5 linked regions of the Oryzias latipes genome follow. The protein of the gene in region 2 interacts with the protein of the main gene of each other region in a pairwise test. Links are inferred from orthologs where the notes say so. Each region holds a gene or a part of one and is shown on either strand. Other genes may lie near its edges.

Region 1 (5,509 bases), on a different chromosome or scaffold from region 2:
CGTTTATGGCTCTCTTGGCCAAAAAGGTTCCCGACCCCTGATATAGGGTGTTCGCCATTTTGCACTGCTGTCTGAATTCCAGTTCCAAAATCGAGTGCTCTGGAAATTTCCCAGTAGTCCCTGCGAAAAACCAGTGTGCATCGATGGTCACTAGATTGGTGAATATGGACCACAATGCATTGCATTTGAACTATTTTTTCAAAGAAATGTGTTTTTTAAATAAACCATCAACATTTTCAACTTCAGAACCCAGTGGATTCATAAATAGCCGTAAAACGCTCGCATCAATTCAATTTCAACTTCAAGAAATCGGTGACATCATACTTGCAGTTAAAAAAAAAGTAATTAGCGAGCATGGTGTCTAAAATTGCTTTTAAAATACAGGGACTTAAAAGGTGCTTTTTATTCAGTGCTGTAGTTAGGGAGGAAATTCAGACAGGTGGCGAACATCCTTTATAGTGCACTAAGTACTTAAAGACGCAATGGATGTGCATTGTTTGACAGAATGAGTTTTTGTTATCTTGGAGTTGACACGTACACCAGACTGGTATGTTTAGAGGACGACATGCAAGATTAAACATGCAACAGAGTGAATTGTGACGTATGTTTGGTCAGTTTCTGGTGATGAACACTCAACCATCACCGGGAAACAGATCGTCAAATCAAAAGGACCAAAACATGGAGACTGACCTCGGGGAGGTCAGCTGCTGCAAACTTAGCCGTGAGCATCACAGCACTGATGGATGAATCCACCTGCAGAGGTTTAGCGGGTTCTGCAGGAGGCCCCGGGCCCTTAAGGTTCTCCTCAAACGGCAGTAGAGCTGGAGACGTCAGCTTGATGTCTGGCACCATGTCTGCAAACAAATCCATCTCCGGGTCTTGCTTCACAGTTTTCTTCACCTTGATGGTAAACTCCTCTCCAAGACCCACGCCGCCTTTGATTTTGGTGGCTGCGGGTTTGAACCCTGAGTTCTGTGGTTGTTGACAGTCCTCTTGAGTCCAGGCGTCATCACAGGAGGACGTTCTCCTGCTCTGGGTGGACTGTGCCGAACTAAGCTTGAGAGGTTTGGAGGAGTTCGCTCGGGGTCTTTGGGGCTCCTGCTTTGCAGATCTGCTCTCTCTTGAACCCAGAAACGCATCCGATGAATTCACCGTCCCCCATGGCTGCTCCCCTTTATCTTCGTAAGCGACGACTCTGCTTCCAGAATCAGCCTTTTGGGACGCGTCAATGTGGATCTGGACTGACTGGCCGTCCTTACTTTGACCCTCCTCCTGGTCGCTCCAGTCAGGCCAGTCTTCCACGGAGGGCTGCTGTCTCTCCACCTGCTCTGGCCTGCAGGACAACGACCTAAAGTTCTCGTGATGAAAGCCGTTCAGAGCTAGAGACACGTGTCTGCTGCCGTCTGGAACACAGAACAGGATCGGGTCAAAGCTACGATGCTGCTTCTTCAACGCCGTTCATGCCGCAGGCCTTACCTGGAGGTGGAGCAGTCCCACCCTGCATCTCCAGGTTCCCACCCGAGTCTGAAGCTTCCGACGGCCTCGGGAACAAATGTAATGCTTTGGAGGGCTGCGCCATCTGGGGGTGAGCGTCTCCAACGATGTGAACAGGGGAAGCTACGAGATGAAACAAGGTCATAGTCAGCCAAATTGAGATTACCCAGAATGCTCCTGCAGATTAACGAAGTTATACGACTTTAAATATTAACTGTAGGTTTTTCTGTAAGTTCAGATGCTGAACTAAGACGAGATCTTCCCTCCTCTCTTAAATCATCACTTCATCCATCAATCCAACCTTTAAGCATCATTCCTGTTGGTTCTGCAGCTATTTTAAATTTACATTTCATTTGAACAAACCTGCATTTCATCTACAACATCTTGAAAGTCTTCTGGACCACGTGGACAACAAAAGATCTCAAACGATGAAGGAATGTGTTAAAAAAAAAAGCACCTAAGCAACCGCATTGCCTTTCTAGAGTACGACTGTTTCTCTCCAGCATTTGTGGGCGTTCTTACTTTCAGGGGTGACGTCTGTTGACTTGTTAAATCCGGGCGTGGTGCGTTTGAAGACCTTGGTTCTCTCTCCACCAACAACCACTTGAGCCCCCAGCAAAGGCACCAACACAGCCAGACTCTGCAGCGTCATGGCGACCAGCGAATCGTTGGTGTCCCTCATTCCTAACAGAACCTGCAGCCGCAAAGGAACATGTTAGAGAACCGTACAAAAATGAAAAAAAAAAGTGAGACGCTGTGGCGTCCCAGGTTACTGAAAAGATAAGCATGTAGACCAAAGGTTTTGATTTCTACATTTTAGTGCCTTGTGCAAAAATAAAAAAGCTGTTTTTAGTATATTTCCAAGTTTATATTTAAGGATATTCGTTATTAATATACTTGTATTGACTATTTTAATACTTTATTGTAAATTCCTTGTTTTTAATTGCTAAATGAACTTTTTCATCCTATAAATACATTCAGTTTTTTAAAGACTCATTCTGATGAAAATGTTTTTAAATGTTCTCGTAGCATCTTTCTGATAAAGGAGGTCACAGATAGTGAAAATTAAGCTTAAAATTACATTTGAGTATTTCTTTATTGTTGTAAATCCGCATCAGATGAAAAAATGCTGTAGGAAAAAGATTGTTTTTAGAAAATACGCCGTGCGTCTTTTATTGCCGTATTTAAAAATCGGCCGAACGGAGAATCCAGATTCTTATTTCCTCACAGCTGGACACTGAAACTTCACCTGAGGTAAGATCTGGTTTCTGAGCTCGTCCTGGGAGAAGAACTCGGCGTAGATGTGGATGTGGGCCAGCAGCACAAAGCGGACGTGCTCCTCTTTGACTTTGTAGAGTTTGAGGAGCTGAGGAAGAACGTGTTTCCGGTAGAGAGACGCAGACAGCAAGCAGTCTTCATGGCTGCCTCCTCTGGAGGGATCTGCCCTCAGAAAGAAATCAAAAGTTCGGCTTTCTTTCTTCCTTCCGCTGAGAGATGAGAAGCTTTATGAGAAAACACCGCCTCACCCATCTTCGGCCTGAGCAAATGAGGCAGGAAGCTCTTGACAGCCATGGGTTCTGCAAACACCAGGGAGTTGAGGAGTTTGGGAGCAAGGCGTGTGGCTATGAGTTCTTCAGGAAGACTCTGGACCCGGTCCAGGAGAAACCTGGACACAACAGACAGTGTTGGAGTCGACGATGCATAAATGCAGTAAACAACAACGCAACCAAGCAAGTCGTTTACTTGAAGAACTCATTTTTCTCCTCTTCTGTCTTTACGGTCAGACTTTTTAGGAAGTTCATCACTTCCAGAAAGTCATTCCTGTTCAGAAGAAAAGAAGTCATTTAGGAGAACGGGGTTGGTATATAAAAAAGGATTTAAGGAAAAACCACAATCTGCTGACCGGAAAAAGTCATGAGTCAGCAAGGAGCTGAGAGGCGGTCGAGCCACGGGGTCAGAGTTTAGTGGACCTGCCTGCAGAGTTCTGGTTAGGCCCTCAGAGAGCTCCTGGGAAACTAAAATACAATCCAAGTGAAGGATTAAACAGCCTCAAATGTGGGTCACAACACTGAGGAAATGGAACGGCGGAAGATACCGTAACCGTTCAGGAGAGGAACGAGGGCCTCCATCATCACTCCAAAGGAGTAGCAGTCCCGAGCGTGGCCGTGTTTGTCCGGGAGCGTTTTAAAGCCCTCTGCCTGTGGGAGACGTTGGGTCAAAAAGGTGAAATGAAGGTTTCTCCGTCTGTTCTTGGTGACGAACTCACTGACCTGCTCTTCTGGGGGAATGCAGCTGGCTTCCCGTGCTTTTTGGAAGCTCTGGAGGAACTGGGAAGATGAAGGAAAGGAAGTCATGTCAGATCATTTCAGGTACCGTGTTTTAAAAAACCAAGGACAAATAGACTGAGACGCCGCAGCATCTTCTTCCCCAGAGCTGTAGTCTCCGTGACCCCCCTGCTTTCTACCTCCCACTGACTTAAATCTTATTCATCTCAGACATCCCTCAGTACATAACACCACTGAATGTGCAATAAAGCTGTTATTTATCATGACATTTTAAACTTCTTAACGTATTTTCTGTTTTTTTTTTAATTCTTATATTGTTTTTTATTCTTTGACGTTTACTTCTTTTTGAGTGAGTGCCAACAGAGTTTGGATGTAGAAACACAATAACAATAAAAATCTTTGAATCTTTCAATCATTTCAGTGTTTTGAAAGATTCATGGCTGCCTCTAAACCTCAGTTTTTTTCCCAGCGTGGGAGTTTTTAAGGCACTCATTGCTGCAGAAAGGTTTCCGCCATATTGGAGGGTTTTGGAGTTTTTAAAGATCTTCTCAACCGAGTTAAGGTCGGGAGTTTTATGAGGCCACTGGAAAGTCCATTCACTTTCTGGCATTGAACATCATCATTGTACTGCATTTTCAAGAGCCTTAAAACAGCGGACCCCGAGCCGCGGACCAGTGCCGGTTGGTGGGACAGTTCGTACCGGGCCGCAGAGACTTGGGTCACGTGTCAAAAATCCATCTGCCGCTTTCTTAAAGCGGCTGCTACGGCCGCTAAATTGAAACCCCCAAAAACAAACATATTTAGAAAGTTTCATTTGGCAGAAAAGAGCCGGAGAGGAAACGAAAGAAGAGCCTTCGACTTCAAAGTAAAAGACAGCAGCAGCTAACAGTCAAAAACCTGGATTTTTAACTCCAAATATGGATTCATTGCGACAGTTGTTACCACAGACCATAACTTTCCTTTTTTTCCCCTGTGCGCCTTAAAAGTCAGACGAGGCTGAAGTTGGCGTCTGATTTATTTTTTTAAGCCTCCACTCAACAGTTATGGATCATAGGAAATCTGTCATATTTTAATGGTTCCTACAGAAAATGTAGGATGAAGATACACTTTACCCTCAAAAGTTTAGACAAATTGGAACCTGGAAAAAGAATAAATAAATAATTAACCGTCCACTTCAGCCAGATGCAGGCCAGTCCGAGAAAAAAATGCCAAACATTATAGCAGTAAATGGCCTAAAAGGGTTGCGGACCACTGCCTTCAAGTTTGAAGTCAACAAGATGGAGAACTTTCTCCTTTAGGCATTTCAGGCAGACGGCAGAGTTCATGATTCTGGATAACAAAGCAAATTTTCCAGAACAGAAAACAGACTCAACCACTATATTTTTGACTGTTGGTGTGGTTATCTTATTTTGAAAAGCTGTGCTACTTTGGCGTCTGACGTAATGAGACCTTTTTTCTCCAGAGGACTGGGGAACATGCAGATGCTTTCAGGCCTTTTGCCTTGCAGGACACGTGAACCCGGCTTCTGTGTTTCTAGAGAACTGTGGAACATCCACTGAGGCCTGCAGCTCCGTGGATGTAGCCACGACTCCCTCTGTGACCTTGGAAACGAAGCGTCACAGGGCTTTGGGGTGTTTCTTAGTCAGCTGGTCTGGTGAGGTTTAAAGCTGCTCTCTATTTTGTGAATTATGGACATCCCTGCCTGCTGGTATCTGAAGCTTTAGATCTAA
Region 2 (6,088 bases):
TGGGAAAGTTTTCTCCAGGAAAAGGAGAGGAGAAATTGGTCGAGTTAAACCTCTGATTCAGGAGGAACAGGGGAGTATTCAGCCCGGTTGTGGAACAGCAAATCAGCTTTGATTAATGGTTCAGGGTTCATGAGTTGTTCCTCATGGTGTTCTATGGGAGACACTGCAGGAATATACGGTCCTGGACCTTCTACTAATGGCCGTCTCTGTACAACCAGAGCAGGAGTTTGGTTCCCAGCTGGCATTGAGTCAATCTTGTTTCCGGTGCATGTTGGAGTCCAGCAAGGATGCCCTGCCTTTGTCAGGGGTCCAGTTTACAGACCCCGAGATTTCATCTCAGCGTTTTGCTGAATTAGACCCTTCAAAATCGAGACCATGGTTCTCACTCATTGACTGTATATTGAAATTATACCCGGGGTGGGCAAAGTACAGCCATGTACGGCCTGTCAAGCTATTTAATATGGCGCTGGAATAAATTATATTGATAGTTATCAATGTTTTATTTCCCATGTATTGGTAATTACAGGGAATTGGTAATTGGTGTCTACCAATGGTGTACAGGAAAAACTAATTGACCTTTGTGTGGGTGCAGAAAGATATTCACCATTCATGTGGTGTTGGAAGATTTGTTGTTTTCGATGTTCATGTGCATATTCCGAGTTGGACAATAATTTTTTTAGCCACACGACCGCTGCATTTCTAAGTTTGCATTATTTCCAGATGGACATAGACCTATTGGTGCAATTGGCAATAAAATGGAACAAAAGCCGAGGTTTTGAAATGAAAACTCCAAAATGCGTGGTTCGGACCTTGTCGCAAATTTTAGCACCCTTTGTGGGCCACGAGTCGAAAAGTTTGCCCACCCCTGCTCCATACAGTCAATATTCTCTCTAGAAAAAGGGGGGGGGGGGGGCTCTCTGGGTGGGTGGAGAGCTCCTGCCCCAATGGGAGGAGTTCAAGTATCTTGGGGTATTTTAAGTTTGGGTCACATAAATTATGTTGGGACTATGTGTCTCAGCTGGCCTGAGAGCACCTCCAGGTTCCTTCGGCAGAAATCCAAAAGTAGAAAAGAAGGTTTGCTTAGACTGACCCAGGTAAACGGAGGAGGATGGATGGATGGATGGATGGATGGATGGATGGATGGATGGATGGATGGATGGATGGATGGATGGATGGATGGATGGATGGATGGATGGACTTATTCTTGCTGAAGAAGGAAACAGACCTTTCACTATAATTTCCTGGCAGTTTACAAACCCCATCTTATGATATATCCAAACAGAAGGGTCGTTTCTGGTTAAACTAACTTAAATATTTACCTCTACTTACACTTGTAGAGATTTTTTGGGGCCTCTGTTACAGAGAATGAGAAGCATAACTTTACTGTCATCAGTTTGAGAGAATGTTTTGCTGTATTATGATTTTTTAATAACAAATGGGGCAAAATTAAATATCCAAGGAGTAATATCTTATGGGTATTTTTTAAAGCCACACACCACGTTTTGCTTCTAGCTTTGAATTTGTGCATGATTCATGTTGTTTTATGAATATTGGGTAAACAAAAATGTTCCTGTTTGGAATTCTGTAAAAGACTTTATACTTCCCTAATTTTAAACGGTGTTGTTTAGAGATTTTGAGTGAATGTTTGGACGCTGTAAAGATCAATTAATGGACTGAGCTAACGTTGTTGCACCACAGCCCTAAAATAAAATAAAAAATGTTTGAAGTTTTCACAATGACCAGGCGGGGGCGCCACTTGAAAAGCTGAAATGTTTATCTGAGAGAAAAAAAACGGAAGCACTTCATTGGTCGGGGAGGCCAAGTTCACGCGAACTACAGCACGAAAAGGTAAGAACAAGAAAATGTGCGGAGATGCTTTAAAACTGCGTGCGACACTTCCAAGACGAAGCCAAGCTCCACGTTTAGAGACCGGCTCGCGACAGATAGGAGACACAGCAGCGCGCGAGCTCAGGGGAGGAGGACGTAGAGGGCAAAGTCATACGTAACGAAGATTATGGAGGCAGAGAGCAGGAGGAAGGGGGAGCGTGAGAAAACCTTCACGATAAAAGTTGTGAAAAGAGATTAGCGACGTTGTACTGGATTTGTCCTGATTTTAAATGTTTGAGCGCGCTAAAATCGCACGAGACAGGAAAAATCCTGAAAATCGAACTGACTTGTGGGTAATTACACATGTACTTCCTAAACATTCCATTGATTGAAGTCACAAAATATTTTGGGTCTTCATACAATACTCCTAGTTAAAGGCAGGATCTCGGAAGCATTTTTGAAAATAATCTGTAAAGAAAAACGTAAATGAAAAGAGCTAATTATTTTCTACCAATAAATCAAGCATTTTTTATGATTGAAATAGTTCCTAATAAGACTGATGGCAGCCCTTGTAGTTGTACACATGTTCAGAAATTCAAATTTCAATTCTTTTTTTTTCCCCGTAAGTACAAATGAATTTCATGTAACTTTATTAAAACAGTTCAACTTTTTGTTTTTTTTTATCTCTGTTTTGTATTACTTTTTTTAAATTAAAAACATAGATGTCATACAGTAAATAATAAAAAACATTAGCTGTACATCAATTGTTCAAAGTACATACACAAAAATAAAATGATATTAAATTATAAAGCTGAACAAAACGACGTGTTTTAATTGCTTTTTTGTTTGTACTGGGAGAATGGAACGTGAGTAACACCTTAGTTGGGCCAATAATTTAAAAAAAATCCACAGCTCTTCAAGGATTAGCTTTACCATGTCGGCCTAATTTTGAAGCTAAGATGTTAAAACCACAAAGAAATCTGATTTACGACCTGGACAATTCAAAGTTCTATTAATGCAGTTTTCATTTGATTAGAAAAGAACTTCACATTAAAAGCGTATCTCTCTGTTATGATGATGAAACAAAAGGAAAGCATAAAGTGTCATTATATATTCTTTTATATAGGTTTATATATGTATTCAAATGTTTTTAATCGTCTAAAAGTTCTTTTCCTTTCTGCTCCTTTTATTTATTTATTTTTTTGTGAACATCCATACACACAGCACATTTACCACTGTTTGCATCAGCTTTTAGTCCTCCAGTCGAACATCTGCTACAGGGAATAAACAGTTCAAAGTCATACTTGTGCTTGCACAGTTCCAAAACATGCCTGCTCTGCATGGGAGCCCCGGTCTGTTCCTCCGTTTGCCTGAAATAACCTGAACTTGACAGTGAATTGTCTTTATTATTGTCCGTGTTTTTTGTGTGTCGCACAGATGGCTCACAGGCTCCTGGTACGTAGGGTCTGGACGTTGTCTGTCCAAGATATCCGCCGCCTCCCGTCGTCCGCCGCCGCCATTTCCACATCCTCCTTCTCAACCTCTCTGCAATCCCCGCCAAGCCGGGTGTCCCTCCTCTCCCCGTCACGCACTCTTCCCCGCACCCTCCATCAGATCTCTCGCAGGGACGTCTCCTTCAATGTCCAGGACACCGAGGATTTCACAGAAAGGGTCGTCAACAGCCAATTGCCCGTGTTGGTGGACTTCCACGCTCAGTGAGTACTTAAGGATAGCTGCTGCTGACCTCCTAAATTACTCGCCCCCCGGTCGGGCATCACAAAAAAAGAAAATAAATGGAGACTTGTCTTCATATCTGTTGCTTTGTTTAAGATGTTGGCTTCATCAGGATCCAACCCACAGGCTCTTCACTAAGCTGACATGTTGATGTGTCACAATGGGCCGCTCTAAATTTACTATCGGGCAAAGCTCCCACAGCAATTATACAACACACACATTTCAGCTTTAAAAGCCTCCCTCCCCAGGGCTAAAGCGGGGTATTTTTGCCGCCCTACTTTTGCGTTTTCCTCTCATACGTCATGTGACGGTTCAGTCCACTTGAATGCGGTCAGAGGAACTTGAGCTGATTTTTCTTTGAAATACGGCTAAAATACTAAAACAAGCTGTGATCAAAGATGGAATATTGGCAGACTTGTAGATTATCTGTTTCAGGATCAAATCACATTTAAATTAAGGAGCTTTGAATCCAAAAAATGATTTTAGACTATTATCACTTTCATACGTATGAATGTGAGAACCCGCTCGTTTTTGTGGGAGGGGCTTGTGCTCAGAGTTCAGGTTTTTAGACGAATACTCAGAAATGTGTGACTGAAGCAAAATATCGCTTTGGGGTTGTTGTTTTTGTGAGGAATGACCATTATAATGCATAATATAGGCCCTTTAACAGAGTTGTAACCAACTAACGTGTCTGTTGCTGTAAAAACCACAGTTTGAGCTTATTTATTTTTTTTCCTGTTGATTAAGCAAACATCTACCAAAACGTCCAAAGTGATTGGATTTTGATTCCCAAAAGTGGAACTTTCATCAAAGTCCCACTCCGATCATCTTTTGATGTATTTTCAAAGCCTCCCAGTGATCTTTTAATTATGATTATGCCATTTTATTTTGGCCAAAATGAATAAACCTGTGTCGTTTCCTAGGATATCATTTTCACAGAGCGGCAGGAGTTCATCAGAAATGTTGGCGCAGAGTAAGCCTGTCCCCTCTTTCTCTGAGAGCTCTTTGTTTACACTCTCTCCCGCTGGCTTACAGCCCCGTAAACCCCCAACGTAACATTACTGACTCAACATAGAGGTGAGCAATGTTGGAGCGATCCAGCCGTACAGTTTGGATCCAGATTCCAGCTCAGACGAGGAAAACAAAGACAAACATGGATCACATGCATCGGAATGGAGCAGTGAGACTGTGGCCCAGCCAGCATTCTCTCCATAACACGGATACAAACTTTTTCAAACATGTTTTGACTACGATTTGAATAAAAAAAGCAACAACTCAGAAATGCAAATTTAAGCTGTATTTTCTTTATGCATGTCCTCCATCATCAGAAAAATGCCACAAGAACATTTTCTTTGGAGTGAGTCTTTAAAGAAATGATGCATTTGAAGATTTTAGCTTTACCAACATGGTGTGGGTTTGATGAATCTATGTAGTATTTTCTAAATTAAAGATGGATTTCGTTTTATTTTATTTGTGAAGTCCAGCCTGAACTACAGCGGGCCTGTGAATGTGTAAAATGCCCCAGGGGGAACTCCGTCAAGCGTGTGCGGGCGCCGTGTCTGCGGGGCCGAGTGCACTGACTGCTGGTGTGGTTTCAGGTGGTGTGGCCCCTGTAAAATCCTTGGACCCAGGTTGGAAAAGGCCGTTGCCAAACAGAAAGGCCGCGTTGCCATGGCGAAAGTCGACATCGACGAGCACACAGACTTGGCCATCGAATATGGAGTGAGATTGAACTTTCTTGTCTGTCTTGTCTAAATAAGGAATTGCAGGAGGGAAAGCTGTGATGTGATGATGTGTCTGCAGGTTTCCGCTGTTCCAACCGTCATCGCCATGCGAGGAGGCGACGTCGTCGATCATTTTGTTGGGATCAAAGATGACGATGAACTGGACTCTTTTGTCAGCAAAGTCATTGGACAATAAACTGTGCAGCTGGCTTCATTATTTGTTCTTCTGGTCCCCCCCCTCCCCATCTACATTTAAGTCTGTTTAGCCACTGCCAGTGAAGGAAGTGTTGCTTCAGCCCCAGCGGGTTCACACCCATCCCTGGACCAGCTGCTTCAGTCCAGGTTGTGTCTCTCCTCTCCTTTGTCCGGTGATGGGTGTGAGCCTCCGGCTGCGTTTTACTTTAGGCTTTTGCTGCATTCAGCAGCCGTTTGTTTTCTCAAACAACGTTGACAGCTCTGTGAATCAGTAACAAATGTGAACGTGAGAAATGTGTGCTAAAGCCTGCAGACAGGAAAACAAAAGCTGCTGTGTGTACCGGGAGGAAAAACCCCCTTTATAGTTTCAGCAGAGGAGCTTGTGGGAAACGTTACTGAATGACGCTTTTGTCCACACGATGGCGTGGCGTCTGTCAAACACGGCCGGGCCACACGGGGTCACTTTTACACCATTTATGCCTAACAATGTGAGGAGGATGTGTGTGTGTGTGAGCGTGTTTTTCTGGGAAACTGAGGTCTGTTGGGAATTATGTGAGTTTGATTTCAGTTTATTACTTAAGAGATCTGTGTACCGGAATCATGACCAG
Region 3 (6,255 bases), on a different chromosome or scaffold from region 2:
TCAATGTTCTGTCCGCAGCACACGGCTGGGACACGGCAAACATGCCGTATCACGCCTCACCTTTTCTGGTTTTTGTAGATTTTTTTTGTTTAACTTGGCATCCCTTTTTTTCAGTTCACTGTGTTCTGATTGGCTGTTGGTTGTGGTCTCTTGTACAGAGACGTGAAGGTTTAAACGAGAGAAGAGTGTGGAAATGTTCATGTGTGTCGGATAAACGTGTAGAGCGTGTGTAGTGTGACGTCTTGTGATAAACCAGGGAACACTAACTCAGTTTTGTCGATTTGCTTAAACAACTGTTGTGTCCATAGTTCCTAAAACAAAGCGTGTGTGTGAGTCCTGTGACCTTCTGAAGCCCCCTCACACTAATGCGTGCACTTGACCCCCCCTCCCCAGAGGTAACTAAGGGTACTTGCCTAGCGACGCTTCCACATGACAGGTAGCCAGGAATAAACCCAGCAGCCCTACAGCTGGTCTGTGGCGTGTCTAAAGTGACCTTCAAGGCTGGTTTCATGTTTGCAGTGTTGAGGACGGCCACTAGAGGTCGCCCTGTTCACCCAACGATCACAGTTCCTCCTCCAACCCCACCTTTGGGCAGTGCTGCTGTGCAAGTGTGCCCACCTGCTGCGGTCCTCGCCATCATCTAGAAAGTACACCACCAGTCTGTTGCCGGGCGGATACTCGAAGCCGTTCAGTTTCTCTTTGGCGTAAAGGGCAGAGCCAAGGTTACTGTAGCGGATCATGGCACAGCCTGCAAACATTCCAAGATCAGAACCGCCGTCTGCATGTTTGACGTGTAAACGCAGAGTTCTGGCAAACCCAATGGGAACCAAAACCACGGAGGTAGAAGTTCTATGAAAGATCGGGTCTCACCTTTGTTCATGCCGTACGAGTCTCTCTGCAGCTCGCAGTACTCCATGCCGGGAATGAGGTCGAACAGAGCGAAGACCTGCTCCTGCGTGAGCGCTGCCCGCGTGGACACCATCAGCGCGCGCGTGAAGTCCCCCGCGCGGCTCTCCGGCACCGCAAAGTTCCCAGGGTCTGCTGCAAAGACGAACGCAGAGATCAGAACCGGAGGCTGCGTCCAGCCTCTGCTGCAGACGCACCAACAGACCTGCGTGAAAGCCGTACTGGTTGGCCGAGTCTCCGCCGTACTCCCCTCTGCTCCCTGCGCCGGAGTAATCCTCAGAGGCGTTGGATTTGGAGCGGGGTTCGGCCAGGATGGCCCTGTACGCTGGAGAACAGCCATCAGAACAGCAAACGTCTGCTAACTAATAATGAAATGGGATTTTCTAAGCAGAGACACCACCTTCAGAGCCAGAGGGCTCTGCTACGTCACTACTGATGGCAGATCTGCCTTTGGAAAGCCTTTCTGCTGAGGTTCAGGACTGCGATGCTCACATTTGTCACAGTTCTCTATAGCGATGGCAGCCTGGGAGGGTTTGTAGTATCTGACGTAACCGAGTCCTTTACTTTCCCCGGTGAGTTTATTTTTGATGATGACGCAGTATTCAATGTCTCCGTACTCCTGGAAGACAGACAGGAACCATGCAGACCCAAGACCTTCATCCTGTCCATGGCTAAGCCATGTTCAAACACGAGGAAGCACACACGTCTCTGCATTCAGCTGCTGCTCTTACTTTAAAAGTGTTTTTCAGGTCTTCCTCTGTGAAGGTTTTGGGTATCATGACGAAGATCCTGGTAAGCTCCTCATCCTCCACGTCTCTGTGTCTGGTTGAAGATCGAGACTGAGCGATGAAGACCTGCCACAAGACAGACAACGGTGTCATCGAGCAGACCCATGAATGCTCGCCGCAGGAAGAAGGTTGGAAACGAATCAACAGCTCTCTGTGCAGCGTTCCTTTGATCACATTTCAACTGAACATCAATTTATTTTCAACTCCTTCAAATGATTTGGCTTTGGAGAATGTTTCTGTGATGATGTTAAAATGGTAGCAGCTCTGTTGGAATGAGACTCAGCTCCACTCCTGGATGTGACCTGAAGCGAGGCGTCGGCCGAGGACGCCACATCCACCGTGTGCTTCTGCACTCTAACCCTTCCACCGACAGAGTCTACCGTCATTCTACAGGAGCTGTGAATGCTCAGGAACATGAACGCTGGTCAAGAACACGGATCATCTCATACCTGATCAAATGACAATGTCTGTGCGAACAAGTTACTTCTCTTCTGGATGTGGAACTAACGTAAAAATATGCAGATTGTTCCAAAAGACCAATGCCTTCCCTCATATTTTAACTTATTGGAATCCATTAGTTCCAGATATCAAATGCAAAGTGGTGTGGATGATCCCTCCTCTTAATAAATAAGCTAAAAGAATTAAGTTTTAAAATTCTCCATTAAATTGACCCTACACTACTTGATAACATCTAACAAAGACACTAATAGTAATTGTAGTTTCTGTGGATATCGTTCAGAAACTGCAACACTTTAATAGTTCGTCCACACAAATCTAGGAAGGAGTTTAGGAGATTTATCTTCATTCGTGTCTTAAAATGTTTCTCTCTGAGATGGGAAAATGTGTTAAAAAGCATAAAGTTTTTTTTAATTATTTTATTAATTCTTCTGGCGAAATTCCACCTACATAATTGTAAATATAATAAAACACCATTCTTCCCCCAATTCATTAAAGATGTAAATGTTTAAATGTAATCAACCTGCCTGGCTGTGTGATATTGTCTATGAAGTGTGCATCGCATCGGTTCTCTCGTGTTGTATATTTGCATTTTGTTCAATAAAGTTTTTTTTTTTTAAGTAGGGGGCAGTAGACGTCAATGGGTGACGTCAGAGATGCTTCGTCCAGTAATATATTTTTTGATTTGAAATTGTCTATTTTAAGCAATTAAAGCAGGAATAATACAAGAAAGAACCCCATCATCAGTTTTACATTCGTACAAAGACGAATCAAACTTAGGATAATTATACATTCAATCAAAGATTGCTTGAAGGGAGGGAAGGAAGTGAACTTATGTCCACCCCTGTTCTACCGTAACCATTTATGACATGTTTTATCATTGTCCAGTTCATAACATATGTCTATGGTTGCAATTTGTTGATTTAAAACACTCCTATCCTTCCTATAACCACGTGCGCGTCCCTGCTCCACCTGGTTGTGCTGTGTACGCACGCGCCAACACTTCGTTAGCAGCTAGCATGTTAGCTGGCGCTCGCGCGGCTGTAAACGGCGCCTGGGTCGGCCTGACCTTGATGGGTTTGCTTTTGTCCGACAGCATCTGTCCGTGCATCTCCTCCATGGCCGCGCAGGCCTGCGAAGATTTGGCGAACTTGATGTAGGAGATGCCTTTGGACTCCTTGGTCTGCCGGTCTTTGACCACCCAGACCCCCTGGATGTCTCCGAATCTGGAGAAACGTTCGCGGAGCTCATCTTCGCTGATGCTGCGGCTCGTGACCAAGAACAAACGGCTGTTGGGCGGATCGTCGAGGTTTTCAGGGACTTGTTTGGAAGGATAGTCCTCCATCTTGTCGCATTCAAGAGGGCTGCTGCGTTTAAGTGCTCCTCGTAAATGTTAACTTCCGGGTTGAACTCTTACAAAAGAGCTGTGATACTGTTTCATAAAGAGCTGCTTGCACTCGCGCTGTTCCAAAGCCTTACCTTAAATGGGAATTCTCACGATTACGAGACTAGAGTAGATTTCTCGCAGGAGTTTATTCATCTTCCAAACCAAGGCTGAAGTTTTCTGTTTGTACAGAACTTATGGTTGATCAGAATCCTTTATTGCCATTTTACATAATATTCATTCATTTTCTTAACCGTTTTTCCCTTTCTGGGTCACGGGGCTGCTGGAGCCTATCCCGGCCACTTGTGGGCGAAGGCAGGGGACACCCTGGAGAGGTCGCCAGGCTGTCGCAGGGTAACATTTTACATAATAATACAATGAAATGGTAGCTGCCTTGGAGTATTAAGAACCCTGAAAATCTAATCAAAATACGTACAAGAAACAATGAAATAATATTGCTGTTGTGCTTAGAACCTTCTCAAATATGATTAAAAGTAGATTCCATAATTGCAGAGCCTCACTTCTGCTCCCATCACTGACCTGTTTAACATGAAAATGCACATTTTTGATGATGATTCTCCAAACATTGGTGGAGGTATAAAGCTGTGAACGTGTTTACCACTGTGTGGAGGATGGAAAGTCGGGTAAACCATCATAAACTCCAACAAAAAAGAAGTTACCAGAAGTTATCATTACATATAATCGATGTATTTCTTTCTTGAATTCAGTAGTTTAAGAACAAATTCTTCCTCCCTGAAATATTGCTTATGACAGCAACCTGACTAAAGTAAAATCTTCCTAGTTACACAAACGTGTCTTTGTGTACACATCACGGCTCTGGTTCAGGACTGCAGCTGCCTTTTTGGTTGCAGGGCATTTCTGTCAGGGATGTTCCGACCCGGACAGCAGCAGGAGGGAAAGAGGGTTAGTTTGTGGGCTCTGCTGACTCTGACCGGCCGTCCTCCTGTGGGGGACCTGTGGTCCATGAAGGTTCAGGCAGGGGCATCTGTCCCCCACCCTGTACTGAGTCACATCAGGACAGAGCTGGACGTCCTGCTCCAGATTATCCTCACCTGTCTGCCATGCTGCAGCGGCTGATGTCACTGCAGTCCCTACAAACACAAATCCTTTCACGTTCCATCCAACATTTATGAAATATGATAAAGAAGTTCATCATAACTGTGGACTTTTTCCATGTTGCGTTCACTTGTTACCGAGAGCTCTTGAATGAAGTCCCTTCTGTAAAAATGTGCATTTTTCTGAGCTTGTTTTGTTTCTGTTCTGACTAATAAAACATGCTCCCTCCTAAAGTCCACTACGCAACAATTCATGCCGATTTTCCGATAACTTCAATAGAATTGACATTTTATAACAACCCGGCACTTTTTAACTGGAAAAAAGTAAAACCAAGGAAAAGAGGATTATTTTATAGGCTACACTGAAATAAAAAATACACGTTTATGTTTTAGCTGCGTTCAAATGTGTTATAATTCGGAGATAACATTTACCTTTACGGATATAACATGAACTATAATAAAAAGTGAATGTGTGCTCATCGCTGCAGTAAAACTCCAAATGATTTTTGTTTTTTCGTAAGTTAATATTTATTATTTAGCGACAGAAACATTATAGTTTGTATTTGAATCTCCAGCTGGAACAAGAGGACTCCCTCTCCCTCTCAACGCGAGTCGCTCTGCCTGAAGTTTCCGAGGCGTCCCTGAAGCAGCCCGGTGGACTGCTACGTTGTGCGTGATGATGTCAAAGGCAGTTGCCGGTAAGTAGAGTGACCTTCGTAGGACCGTCAGAAGCGCCGTCGGCTCAGAGGGACGCTCGGTTTTCTTCAGGGCTCGGAAGCTGCAGGTAAACGTGTCCCGTTTCCCCACAGAGAGAGGAGCGGCGCTCCGTGTCCGTCCGGCGGCCGCAGAGCAGAGGAGCGGCGCTCCGGCGACCTCCAGCTACTATCGGCGGCGCCGTGACCGTTAGCTGCCGTTGCTGCCCGGCGAGCGTCTCTGTAATATTTGAGAAACGCGGCTGAAGAACGGCGCCCGTTTTCAGGCGTCCATCATGATGCTCAGGTTGGAGATCCCGTCCGGAATCCCGTCCCGCCCGAATCGGCCCGCTTTGGTCTAAACAGCCCGGCTCCAGCGAATCTCTATCAAATATTATGACGGGACTTCTCTGGAATCACTTAGCGGGATTCTTTTAAAGCACGCGCCGTCAACCTCACCGGGACATAGTGTCCCGGTAAATTTACCGGTACATAGTGTCCCGGTACCGGGACAGTAATTCACAGGATTACAGAAATTACCCCTTAAGTCTAACCTTACTTGCCCTGTAAAGTTTTAGTCAGCTCCATGGTTGGGGGGGGTGACCCTCAGAGAAGGACAGAGCCCCCCCCCCCCCCCCCCCCCCCATCAGGTGGTGCAGCACGTGCAGGTTCCGCCCTGATGTTTGCTTTCCGGTGGAGTGGAGGGTAAACTGCGTGTGTCTGTCTCCTCAGCTGATCATGGGTGACGTGGACAAGGGAAAGAAGGTGTTTGTCCAGAAATGTGCACAGTGCCACACCGTAGAGGAGGGGGGCAAGCACAAGGTGGGCCCCAACCTATGGGGTCTGTTTGGGCGCAAAACCGGGCAGGCGCCTGGTTACTCCTACACAGACGCCAACAAGAGCAAAGGTGAGGACGCTTCCTGCGTGCTGGGCGTCCTTTAGCTCTGCTTTGA
Region 4 (6,188 bases), on a different chromosome or scaffold from region 2:
TTTCTTTACCTTTTCCAAAAATAAAGAGGCGCACAGTCATGTTGACAAATATCCACGAAAATCCAAGAAACTGGACCAAGTTATATGCAAACAAAAAGCCTGTTTTAAGGCTAATAAACCCTGAAATACAGAGAAACTGAGTTTCAGGCAGCTGGTTGTGCAAACAATGTTTAAGAAAAGCCACTTAGAGTCTAAAAGGTGAATTGGGTTAGTATAAAAGCATTAATATAAGCTGCCATGACACCAAACTTGCAGTGACCTGGTTCTTTGAGCCTTGCAGACCTCAGCCTGTTCCTTCTTTCTTCCTTTTAAAAGAAAAAAAAAACAAGAATAAAGCCAATAAAAAATAGTTTCGTTTGTCAGAGTTTTTCAGAATAAAAGCATGCCATCCTACTTTTTCCCTGATCTCCATCTCAGCATCTGATTCTTCCAGCCAGCGATCAAAGTCCGGCGCCAGGAAGACGGGCTTACGCTCCTGCGTAACCAGCCTTTCCCACCAGCCTCTCTTCTCCTTCCCCACCACGACATTCACCTGCCTCTGTGTGGACTTGTAACTTACCTGGGTATATATGCATGCGATGAAAATACAAAAAAGACTCAAAGGAAAACTATCATTAAAGTTGAGACATTTTAAGAGAACACATACCTCAGGCTTTACTGGAAAAAGAAACTCCAGGCTGAACTCGTACTCGTTTTGTCCTTTGGCACCATGACCTCGAGCTGAACAGTTGATAACACACAAAAAAAAAAAGGTCAAAGATTGTGTCTCTTTTTGAAGCACATTCTTCATCGGGTGCACACAACAACAAAAGACCTAATCTCACCTCTGAACTGAAGAACTTTGTCGTGCACTTGGACATCAATGTTCTGCAGAAAGACAGGCAGTTGGTAAGCATACCTCCTCTTCCAATGTGAACTTTCAAAGACCATTGGACTTTTTTTTGTGTACAATGCAGTGGATTATAAATGCATTCACTACAAGAAAAAAAAAGTCCATCCTCAAAAAATCAACTACCTTAACATACAAGAATACTCTAAATAAAAATATATGACAGCTATTAGTTGTGATTAGTTGCTTTGTTTCCCTAAAAAAGAGGCATTGTCCTCCACAACAGCTGTTTAAAAAAAGTTTAATATGTTTATGTGTTTCAAAAATTGAAAGTCCTTTATTTTATGGAATTATTACACAAATATTGAGATAATTTAAGCCATTATGTCTTTTAAGTTTGGTGATTATGGCCAATAAACAATAAAAACTTTAAATGTAGTTATAAGAAGATCACATCAGGCAGATTATAAAAGGATGTCTTCACCTTAAAGGGCAGATTCCTGAAACTGTGTTCATGTCTGACATATATAAAGAAAATAAAGCTTAAAATTGGATTTCTACACATTTCTTTATTCAAATTGTTGTGAATCAGAAGCAGACGAAAAAATGCTGTTGGAAAAAGCTTGTAGCAGTGACATAGAAGGCACAACTGTAAGCCATAAGCCCCCATCCGCCCCATTCTGAGGCATCCACTTGCAGACAAATAGATCCATGAACGTCTTTCTTTTCCTCGTCCGAGCTGGAATCAAAACGGCTGCATAGCTCAGATATTGCTTGCCATTTTTGTTGCACTGGTAATTGGTGCGAGAGGCTGTAAGCTAGTAAGCTAGTGGATAAACAGATGGATGACGGGAAAGGGGGGAGGTGTTGCTCTGCACCAACCAAATTTCTAATGAACTCCTGCCGCTCTGCAGAAACTATGTCACAGAAGAGGACACAGTTTTTGTTGTTGTTTTTAATTATTTTTGCCTAAACGCAGCATAATCATAGTTAATAGACAACTGGGAATGCTTTTACAATAGATCAAAAGATGTTAAGAGAAGTACTTTGAATGTTGATGTGTCTGCCTGTGTGTTATAAATGACTGTTTCAATTGTAGACTCCAGAAAACACATAAAATACATTGGCCATGATCTGAAAGAAGACTTTGGGCTTTGTTTCTGACATTTTCTCTGGTGAGAGGCTTGACTGAAGGAAAACAACATTTGTGGCCCATAAGTCTTCATCTGTGTGGTGATGGCTCCGGTTAGACTGACTGCTAACCAGATTCAGATTCTTGAATGAATGGATGGTGTGGCCTATTGACTGTTTTTCAAATGTGTGGCCCCAAGATAGGGGTTTGGAACCTGGTTTAACACAATTTCCTTAAGATTGAGGACTTCAGACTGATTGGCGCTCTGGGTCTGAATGCGTAAAGTCACGTGACTGACACTTCACGCTCGCGAACTCGACTCTTATCTTTAATTCGACCTATTATTTAACAGCTTTAATGGGGTTAACCTCCTCAGTGGCTGCATGAAAGATCAACACCGAGGACTAGAAACATGTAACATGATGTACGGAGAGCTTCACGCTACCTTCTAAGAATGAAGACCCTCTCCAAACGTATTCATTCATTTATTAAGAGCTCGGAGCCAACAGTGAGTGATGTCGGCGGCAGGGGTCGGGTTTCACTCACCTGAGCATCCGTGAGCTCCACTCGCAGGTAAATTTCCTCGTGACGCTGGGCCCAGTAAACGAGAGGCGTTAGCATCATTGTTGTGCTCGAGTCGTGTTTACTTCAATTAAAAGGTTCTAACTAAAAATCGCATAAAAGCGCGCTAGCTGCCAGAAACCCGGTCAGCTAATACCCAGAATATTCCGTCAGCGTGCGCGCTCTCAAAGCGTCAGTTTAAGCAACGTACTCGTGCGGGGGAGGGTCACGTGATACTGTCCTTCTCTCTGATTGGATGTTTGGGAATATTTACAATAGTATCATTGGCTGGTAAAAAAAAAGGGTGACAGCCAGTTCAGACGGGATGTTAGCTTCATCTTGAGCTAGCATGCAACAGGAGAAGCAAGTTTTATGTAAAACGGTCGAGTCGCTGAACTCTTCTGGAAGTTTCCGTGTTCTCGTTGGGGTGACGGGGAGTGTTGCATCGTTAAAACTACCAGCTTTAGTCGACCAGCTTCTTCAACTCCCTGGGGTGAGAAGAAAAGAACTTGCGTGTTGTTAGCCAAAAGTGCTTGATATTTAGCCTCTGGTGGAACACCCATGACAATACAGCAGACTTCCATTGTGTGCGTGGCTTCAGTTTTACCGCAAGATGGGGATAATAGACAGTCACTTGAAAAAACTGAACATCATCTGTATGAACAACAAAATATTAAATGTTGTTGTTTAGTTGCTAATAACATTCAGCAATCCTCGAGAATGTCAAGAATAAGTGTATTGATCCATATATCCACATGATGGAAGAAGATCTCTTTGACTAATTAAACTATCAATGTTTTTTTACCATATTAATTTATTTCATTTTTATATAGATTTAGCTATGTGGATTTAATTAATTTGACTAAATAGAAATTGGATTAAACTGGGGTGTATAGTCTGTAGTTCTGGTTAACTCGTAGACAGGTTTGTTGATGTAATTTTGAAACCAAGAAGGTCTCAATAAAAAAAGAACTATTGAGAAGTGAAACCTGAAACATCCGGTGGTAGGAGTCCGTCTGGGAGTTGTGAAGGAAAATGTTTAGCAATACACTAAATAAAAACAGTGATGGTACTGTTGTTCTAAACAGGAAGGTACAGCTGTGTGTCAATAAATGCAAATATTTCCCCCTGTTTTCCATTCACTATGTGGACTTTTGTCAACAGCCTTTTTGGGGGAAAGTCCCCCCCCCCCCCCCCCCCCCCAAAAAAAAAAGAAATAAATAGAGCCCAACCTATTGTCAATATTTTAATTTTAAAAAAAAGTATTGAAGCCTCCACAGAATATCTCGGTGTTGAGCACCAAAATAAAACCATATTCCACCAATGCATGAAAGCTAAATCTTGGAATCTTCAATGTAACGATGCACAAGAATTTACTTTATGATGCATACGTTTGCAACAAACTCCATTTAACAGCTCCTGCTGCAGAAAATGTGACTTTACAAGTCTGTCTTCATTTGCTGCAAGCTTTAGTGTGTCTAAAGCTTATCAGTTCCGTTCATTTTAACAGTTTTTTTTCTCAGAAGTTTGATTAAACGACAGACTACTTCCCTAAAAGAAATTATTGTGGTTTTCATGGTCCAGTTTTGTGCTTTAGGTGGATGTCAGAGTGGTCACCACAGAGCACGCCAAGCACTTCTACAAGCATGCAGAAGTGGCAGTAAAAATCTACAGCGACAAGGATGAATGGGAGGTAATGTTGGGATTGCCCCAAATGTTTTTTGACATTTTTTCTTGTCGTCTTTTCTTGAACACGAGTGAATTACTAAGAAATGTGGGGAACTGCCTCTAAGATGTGTAAATATTGTGAAATGCTGACGTCGCGTGTCCCCAAAGGAGCAGTGAAGAAAAAAGCGTCTTAGTGTTTGCTTGCCAAATATCCTGTTTCTCATTTAGCTCTGGAAGGAGCGCACTGACCCCGTGTTACACATTGAGCTGAGGCGCTGGGCAGACCTGCTTGTCATTGCACCACTTGATGCCAACACACTTGGAAAGATTTCTAATGGCATTTGTGACAATCTGTTGGTGAGGAAACATATGATCGGTCAACACAATTTGTCACACAGTTCACTAAGGTCCTTTGTAGATTTATGTGACTTTTATTTTTTTATTGATGATTTCTTTTTTTAGACATGTGTCGTAAGGGCCTGGGATACAAGTCGACCTCTTCTTTTCTGTCCTGCAATGAATACAGCAATGTGGCTGCATCCCATAACAGCCCAGCAGATATCCAGACTAAAAGAGTTTGGATACATGGAAGTCCCTTGCATTTCCAAGAAGCTAGTATGTGGAGATGAAGGTTGGTTTATTTTTTTACAAAGTGATTTCTTTGTTTTCTTTCCTTGCCGTATCAAATATGAGGTTATGGTGTCTTTATTTTGAACATTTTCTAAAATAACAATTATCCCTGCTCCCACAAATCAAAAGAGTTTCTCCCATATGTCACATTTTAAATCAACAAAGTTTGGTTTTATTTTACAGGCAATAAAACAGGAGGTCTTGTGCAGAAGCATTAACTACAAAAGTGTCTCTTTTCCTCCTTCAGGATTGCATAATTTCCCCCAAACTGTTGCTGTGCCAAACGATCATCTGAGCGTATTGCCTTTCAATCAGGAAGCCCCCAAAATGCCTCGGAATGTGCAGACAGGTGTGGATTTGCAGCAACTTAATACTTGCTGCTGATAAAAACCTATCCTGAAACCATAACAGACATCCATACAAGTTAAAAGAAAATGCCATTACTTGTTAAATTCACCTTTTTACTGGAGCAATCATTGCTGAAACTCCCACAGGCCTGCTCCCAGGCCCACACTTCCCTTTGCACAGGTTACATTTTTTAGCCATTACATACAGATATATAGTATTTCCTGTTTTACATATTTTTGCGATTACGCAATGACAGTGCGGTAGCCGCGCTGTCCTTCCCGCCGGTTTCTTCTCCTTTCAGACTTAAGACATCTGCAGTGCGACCCATCCGACTTCAATTATCGCACAAAGGTTCAACTGTTTCACAAATGACGTCCAGCAAGATCCCTGTAAACCCATGAGTTCAAGGCTGCAATGAAGTTTTTAACAAGTTTTTGATGAACAAAGTAAAAATGAGAAACTTTTTCTGATAAAGGCTGTACAAATACGGTAAACCTGTTGTTCCATCAATGTTTCAGTTATCCTCCTACATACAAAGAGTGACTTTCTTTGTGATAATTTGAAGCCCTTCATATAATATTCCTAATTTTGGATTACCTACATAAAACCTGTCCATCTATGCATAGTTAAAAGGCTCTAAAATGCTAAGGATCCTTTTTTTCTTGATGAAAAAACATAAAATGATTTTCTTTATGATAGTATTGAAAACTTCATTACTTTGTTTTACAGAAATATACTTTATTTTATACGATAATATGACAGTAATCATTTTCCCATTATTAAATATTTTCCAGTCAAAAACAGAAATATACTAGACACAATCCTCTTTCAAATGTTGTAGATTGAAGGCACTTAAAGTTTCAAATAATCTTAGTTTTCAGAATTTAGAAATTAGTCACAAAATATTTTATTGAGTGAGAAAACAGGTTTGAGCTGAAGCTCTTGGCGCTTGATTAAGGCGGAAGCTCATTTGTGAAATAGAGCCGCGTTTTCATTGAGATCGGTATCACATCTGAGATA
Region 5 (5,068 bases), on a different chromosome or scaffold from region 2:
GACTTTTCACCACATTCTGACCAAACTAAGCTGCTGCGTTTGCATTGCTGTTGGCGTCTACAAAGGTCTCAGGTAGGGGTGTGACGATAACCTCATCACCGCGGTGATGACCTCATCACAGCACCTTTTTTTAATTTGAAAGTTTTTATTATTTTTTTTCTGAAAGTTCTGCATATGATGATTGGAACTATAATTAAACACGTTCATCTTTGCTGATAATTTACTTTTTCTAGTCCTGTGTTCAGACTTCAAGGGTTTCTGGGGGGAACCTTTCATTTCTGTTTTCCTTCACTCCCTCTACGCTGCACGCGCTCACTCTACTCACACACACACACACACACACACACACACACACACACATGAGGTTTCAGCAGCACACACATCCTCATTCTACAACAGAAATTTCCTTCTCGCGAGGAAATACGACAAATTTACTGCGTTCTAATCATTAATTTCCATTGTATTCATTTCCATTACAAGCTGGGTGCGTTCTTGAGTGCGCGACATAGACGCCCGCCGGAGGATTTTGTGTTGGGGGGGGGGGGTTGTTACTGTTCTCCTTCACTCTGTAACACCAAACATGAACGTGCACCGTTAGATTTCCATGAATATCACTACATGTTTTGTTTGCGTAACGTTACGTGTCTGTATGAACAAAGGCGGAGCCTCCTGCCCGCGTTCTTCATGGATGTCAGGCTTCATGGCTACCAGAAAGGTGACAAAGTGTCTGCAGTCTGTTTATTACTGAGCAATATATAATATTCTGAGAAGATGTCCGTACCAGAGAGCACAGGTGAAACCTCACATGCTCCAATTCCAGAGCGGTCCATTGACTCTATAAGAGAACTGGACTGAGTGACTCTGCTTTCAGTGGAAGGGGTGTGGTCTTCCAACAAGCTCACTCCTGATTGGTGAGAATGGTTGCCATAGAAACAAGGACTCGGACCAATGGCTGCTTACTGATGACGTATGGCTCCAACATGGTGGCGACCACAATCACAAAACAATGGCGGCTGATTCGACTTCATTTGGTTGGAGTCGGAAGAGAAACATTTTCTGTGGATGACATCACACTCGCTCAGTCCAGTTCTCTGATACAGTCAATGTTCATTTCCAAGTATTTTCCTCTCTTCTCTGGTGTAAATTTAATCCTTAAATCTAGTTTTCTATCGTTTCGGTTTCTTCTTGTTGGCTTTTTATTCAGATGACTCTTCCTCCAGTTTTTCTTTGCACAAATATTCTTGCTTCACATTTTAGAAAGCTTTAAACGTTTGAATCCCTTTCATTTCACTTTAATTTTTCTCTGTGTTACTAAAAACAGAAAATTCTCTTTTTATTTAATTTTTTTCACAGAATGAGTGAATGTAGAATAAAAAGTTGTGTTTGTTAAACGATGTATGGAAAACGTGGACAAAAAAATAGAGAGAATGAGGAGGAGACGCATCAGAAAGTCGACGGATAAAAAAAAGGATTTCTGAGGAAAAGTATTAAAGGAAAACCTTTCTGGTCATTTGTAAAAAGTTCAAATGTGGGGCTTTTTGATTCACATCATTGCAGAAAAGAAAGGAATATTTTCCGTGATGTTAGAAGGGTTTTAGAATGTCAGAAACTGGTCCTCAAAAGTTCTCAGATAAAACTGGGATTCAACGGACCCCCCCGGGACAGTTTCACTTTTTAACCGGCTTCATTTTTGAAGTTGGAGCTAAAATGCAGCAGAACTTTAAAACCAGAGTTGATTTGAACTTTTTGTGACCGGCACAGACTAAAAACAGGAAAACCTTGAAAAAGAAACAAAGAAGAAACTTGAATGTTCAGCAGAAGTTCAGGAGGATTTGACTGATTACTTCAAGTTAATTTAAATAATTAGTTAAGATGATCAGACTTCCTGGATCAGCAGAAATCAGAACAGCTGAAAACAAACCAGTCCTGCAGACAAATTATTGTCGTCTTTCTTGGCTTTTTTAGACTCTTGTTTTATTGTAAATAACCTTAGTAAATATCTTTATCACTAATATTGTGCTTTTGTAATGTGTTGTAGATGAATTTGTTGAACCTTTCTGCCTTAGGACAACGGATGAAATGTAGCTCTTGTGCTAAAACTCTGGCATATTTATGCTGAATCTTTGATTAATATGCAGTGTCCCGATTCAAATAAATAAACACAATAAAAATAAAAAACTAATTGATTCTTGTGTTTTTTGGATGGTTTCCAAAACTGTGTGCTAACCTGAAAACAGATCATGTCCGATTAGATTAAACCTCCGTATTTAACATTTTTTTGTTTGTCTGATCAAATATAAAGACAATTAAGGTTGAGTTTGCTTTTCTGAGTATTTCTGGGGATCAGGAGCAGATGAAAAAATCCAAAGTTGTGACGTAAAAAATTCAATCAGCGATACACAAACTCAGCTAATGCTAGATTGGGGGAGGCTGTAAGTTAGTGGGAGAGAGAGTAAACCAAGGGATGATGGGAAGTTAGCGCAGGCTTACTCCGCCCAAAACTCGTAGACACGTTTCAAATGAATCCTTCCCGCTCTGCAGAAACTTTTGTCTAAAATGAAGTTTTGTTGGAGTTGAAGGAGCTGCTGAGAGGAGGAGGAGGAGGAGGAGGAGGTTTGTGCTGCTCCTTCAGGAAGAACATTTGCCCCGTTTGGAGGTGAAAGACTCCCGTCCTCCCAGAACCCTCTCTGATGCGTTTACCGCGCCGACGGGACTCACCAAAGTTGACGCTGTACTCGCCCCCCCGCTCGCGGTACATCTGGTACACGAAGAAGCAGGACACGGGTTTGAGCAGCAGGTTGAGGATGGCCATCCCCGCACTGAAGCGGAACACGCTGGAGTCGAAGAGGCCGGGGGAAAAGTAGACTCCGAAGTGGATGATGTCGGTCAGAATGGTCACCGTGATGCCCACCAGAAACTGCAGGGGGGGGGGGGGCAGAAAACGAGCAGAGGCAGAGGAGTGAGATCCAAACAGAAAGAACAGAACGTTGAGCGTTACATCGAAGGCCCTCCAGGAAAAAAGTTCCAGAATAGAGTTTTCAATATCAGAGAGCCACACCCCCGGGTGAAAACTCTACTTTCTTCTGGAACTTTCATCCTGGAGGGACTTTGATGAAATCTTTAACTGTAAAGTAGTAGGTAAGTCAAATTGAAAGAAAGTGAAATAAAGTACTATTAACTCCTTCACCGACAGATTAGACAGATTTCTGAGCCACAGAAAATCAGCTGGAGGTCAATAAGCACAACCACAATCAAGGCGCAGCCGATGAGAAACCAGATTTCTTATACTTTTTCATTTTGTTAAGCTCCCTATGGTTCAAAAAAATAAAATGCAGGTCACTTTATTAGCTTTGATATAATTGTGATTAGTCAGCTTTAGACATTTGTGGCAGAGGTGATAAATCGATAAATACTAAACGGTTTTCAATCCCTGCTGACGTCACACCACTACTTTGGCTGCTTAGAGATGATCAACAGGGTGGCTTTTATTTTGAAAGGATGTCATGTGAACAGTAGTTCATGACTTCCATTCACATTCATGTTTTATGTTACTTATGCCCCCCCCCCCCCCCCCCCCAAAAAGGTAACAAGAACACAAATGAGTGTCCTTCTTCTCTAAAGGGTGAGGCGAGACTTAGTGGCTCTGTAAGGGTTAAAGGTTAAACACCCCGCCCCCAAAGCCTCACTACCACAGATTTGAAGGCAGGCATGTCCAAAGTCTGGCTTGCAGGCCAAATGCAGCCTGCGTTCAAATTTCTACTGACCCGCTAGTTAGAAAATCAATGATATGCAGCCCCAAAGCCTTTTTGCGAACTGTGTACGATGTCTTGATTGTGATTGGCTAAATCACGTGATAAGCCGCTGTAGCTACAGCCTGCGGCTACTTGTTCTTCAGAGCCTTAAAGGCCGTCTCTGAAGAACAACGGGCTTTTTAACGTGTTCTTGTGGCATTTTTCTGATGTAAAAGAGAAAATTAAGATCAACATTTCTTTCCTGAGTATTTCTTTATTCAAATCCTTGTGAACGAGTCGTCAAAAAAAATGCCAATTAAAGACCATCACATAAATTTGTGGCGTAGAAAATACGCTGGGCGGAGCCACAAGCTCCCTTTTATCAACGGGGAGGGGAACGGGGGCGGAACTGCTCTGCGCCAACAGGCCGGACCTCAACTCAGAGGTCAATTTCTAATGAACTCCTGGAAAAGGAGACAGGTTTTTGATTTTGGCCAAAAACGGCATCATCATAAGGAAAAGACCACTGGGAACGCCTTGAAAACAGATCCGACGATGATCAGAGCGGGACTTGAACCACCAACAGAGGGGTGTCTTCCCACTCTGAAGCAGAATTTCCTCCCTTTGCCAGAAAATAATCTAATTTCAAGAGAGCAGGCGGAGAGAAAGCGGCGTTTGCCGTTAAACCTCCCAGCTTCCTGCTCAGCGTGAAAGCTGAAACTGGGTTTTTATTCCCAAGTCCTGAGTTCTCACTGTTTTACGTTCACCTTTGATGGTGACCCTCTCTACTCTCTGCACATCATCAGACTGTGGAAGATGAACCTCGATTGAAAGTAAAAGCAGAATGAAGCGTCATCTTACACTGGAGGGAGAAACAGAAAAAAGAACCAGAAGGAGCAGCAGAAACAGCACAGTTGATGCTGTACTGCTGAATGAAAATGAAACTTAAAGGGGAATAATTGGCTAAATAAATAAAAAAAGGATCAAAGTTTTCCATAAATAAAGTGAAAACAGCACAATAACAAAAAAAAATGTATTGAACCAGCGAGCTTCTGCACTAAGTGTTTCAATGGAATATCTGGACAAGTTCAAGAATGTGAAGAACCAAAAGTCACAGCTGGAAAAAGCTGAAAGAGCTGAATATTTGAATAGTTGGATGGTTCAAATAGATGAAACATTGTAGGAAGAGTTAAACTGCAAAAAATGGAGGAAGATACTAGAATAAAGACAGAGAAACAGAAAAACAATGTTTTAAGGATTTATCGTATTAAACCAAAAAAAAAAGAAGAAAAGCTGTGGATGGACGTCTGTGCAGCTGCTCTCACAGCGTCTTTCCG

What was found.
Region 1: the proteins of txn2 (region 2) and scyl3 interact in binary tests that used the Homo sapiens proteins (3 or more experiments, as listed by UniProt). The two-hybrid records come from large-scale screens. The link is inferred for Oryzias latipes from reciprocal best matches to the Homo sapiens genes TXN2 and SCYL3.
Region 3: the proteins of txn2 (region 2) and rbm45 interact in binary tests that used the Homo sapiens proteins (3 or more experiments, as listed by UniProt). The two-hybrid records come from large-scale screens. The link is inferred for Oryzias latipes from reciprocal best matches to the Homo sapiens genes TXN2 and RBM45.
Region 4: the proteins of txn2 (region 2) and ppcdc interact in binary tests that used the Homo sapiens proteins (3 or more experiments, as listed by UniProt). The two-hybrid records come from large-scale screens. The link is inferred for Oryzias latipes from reciprocal best matches to the Homo sapiens genes TXN2 and PPCDC.
Region 5: the proteins of txn2 (region 2) and agtrap interact in binary tests that used the Homo sapiens proteins (3 or more experiments, as listed by UniProt). The two-hybrid records come from large-scale screens. The link is inferred for Oryzias latipes from reciprocal best matches to the Homo sapiens genes TXN2 and AGTRAP.

Annotation. Positions count from the first base shown.
Region 1 is NC_019862.2:29,582,230-29,587,738, forward strand, and holds part of scyl3 (protein-associating with the carboxyl-terminal domain of ezrin), read right to left. Parts: intron 3,822-5,509; coding exon 3,765-3,821; intron 3,693-3,764; coding exon 3,590-3,692; intron 3,510-3,589; coding exon 3,398-3,509; intron 3,316-3,397; coding exon 3,238-3,315; intron 3,161-3,237; coding exon 3,021-3,160; intron 2,935-3,020; coding exon 2,744-2,934; intron 2,189-2,743; coding exon 2,017-2,188; intron 1,618-2,016; coding exon 1,477-1,617; intron 1,404-1,476; coding exon 691-1,403; intron 1-690. UniProt on the Homo sapiens protein: May play a role in regulating cell adhesion/migration complexes in migrating cells.
Region 2 is NC_019866.2:21,791,121-21,797,208, forward strand, and holds the start of txn2 (thioredoxin, mitochondrial), read left to right. Parts: upstream 1-2,063; 5' UTR 2,064-2,117; coding exon 2,118-2,180; intron 2,181-3,264; coding exon 3,265-3,542; intron 3,543-5,159; coding exon 5,160-5,283; intron 5,284-5,364; coding exon 5,365-5,481; 3' UTR 5,482-6,088.
Region 3 is NC_019873.2:1,273,862-1,280,116, forward strand, and holds the start of rbm45 (RNA-binding protein 45), read right to left. Parts: upstream 3,569-6,255; 5' UTR 3,496-3,568; coding exon 3,220-3,495; intron 1,761-3,219; coding exon 1,638-1,760; intron 1,526-1,637; coding exon 1,399-1,525; intron 1,232-1,398; coding exon 1,112-1,231; intron 1,042-1,111; coding exon 871-1,041; intron 749-870; coding exon 619-748; intron 1-618. Other genes in the region: cytochrome c iso-1/iso-2, read left to right, coding at 6,041-6,209. UniProt on the Homo sapiens protein: RNA-binding protein with binding specificity for poly(C). May play an important role in neural development.
Region 4 is NC_019864.2:16,648,223-16,654,410, forward strand, and holds the start of ppcdc (phosphopantothenoylcysteine decarboxylase), read left to right. Parts: upstream 1-2,799; 5' UTR 2,800-2,871; coding exon 2,872-3,015; intron 3,016-4,119; coding exon 4,120-4,215; intron 4,216-4,418; coding exon 4,419-4,547; intron 4,548-4,652; coding exon 4,653-4,821; intron 4,822-5,067; coding exon 5,068-5,169; intron 5,170-6,188. Other genes in the region: hacd3 (very-long-chain (3R)-3-hydroxyacyl-CoA dehydratase 3), read right to left, coding at 10-120, 260-305, 395-559, 647-720, 825-867, 2,508-2,585. UniProt on the Homo sapiens protein: Catalyzes the decarboxylation of the cysteine moiety of 4-phosphopantothenoylcysteine to form 4'-phosphopantotheine and this reaction forms part of the biosynthesis of coenzyme A.
Region 5 is NC_019863.2:32,258,888-32,263,955, forward strand, and holds part of agtrap (type-1 angiotensin II receptor-associated protein), read right to left. Parts: intron 2,918-5,068; coding exon 2,719-2,917; intron 1-2,718. UniProt on the Homo sapiens protein: Appears to be a negative regulator of type-1 angiotensin II receptor-mediated signaling by regulating receptor internalization as well as mechanism of receptor desensitization such as phosphorylation.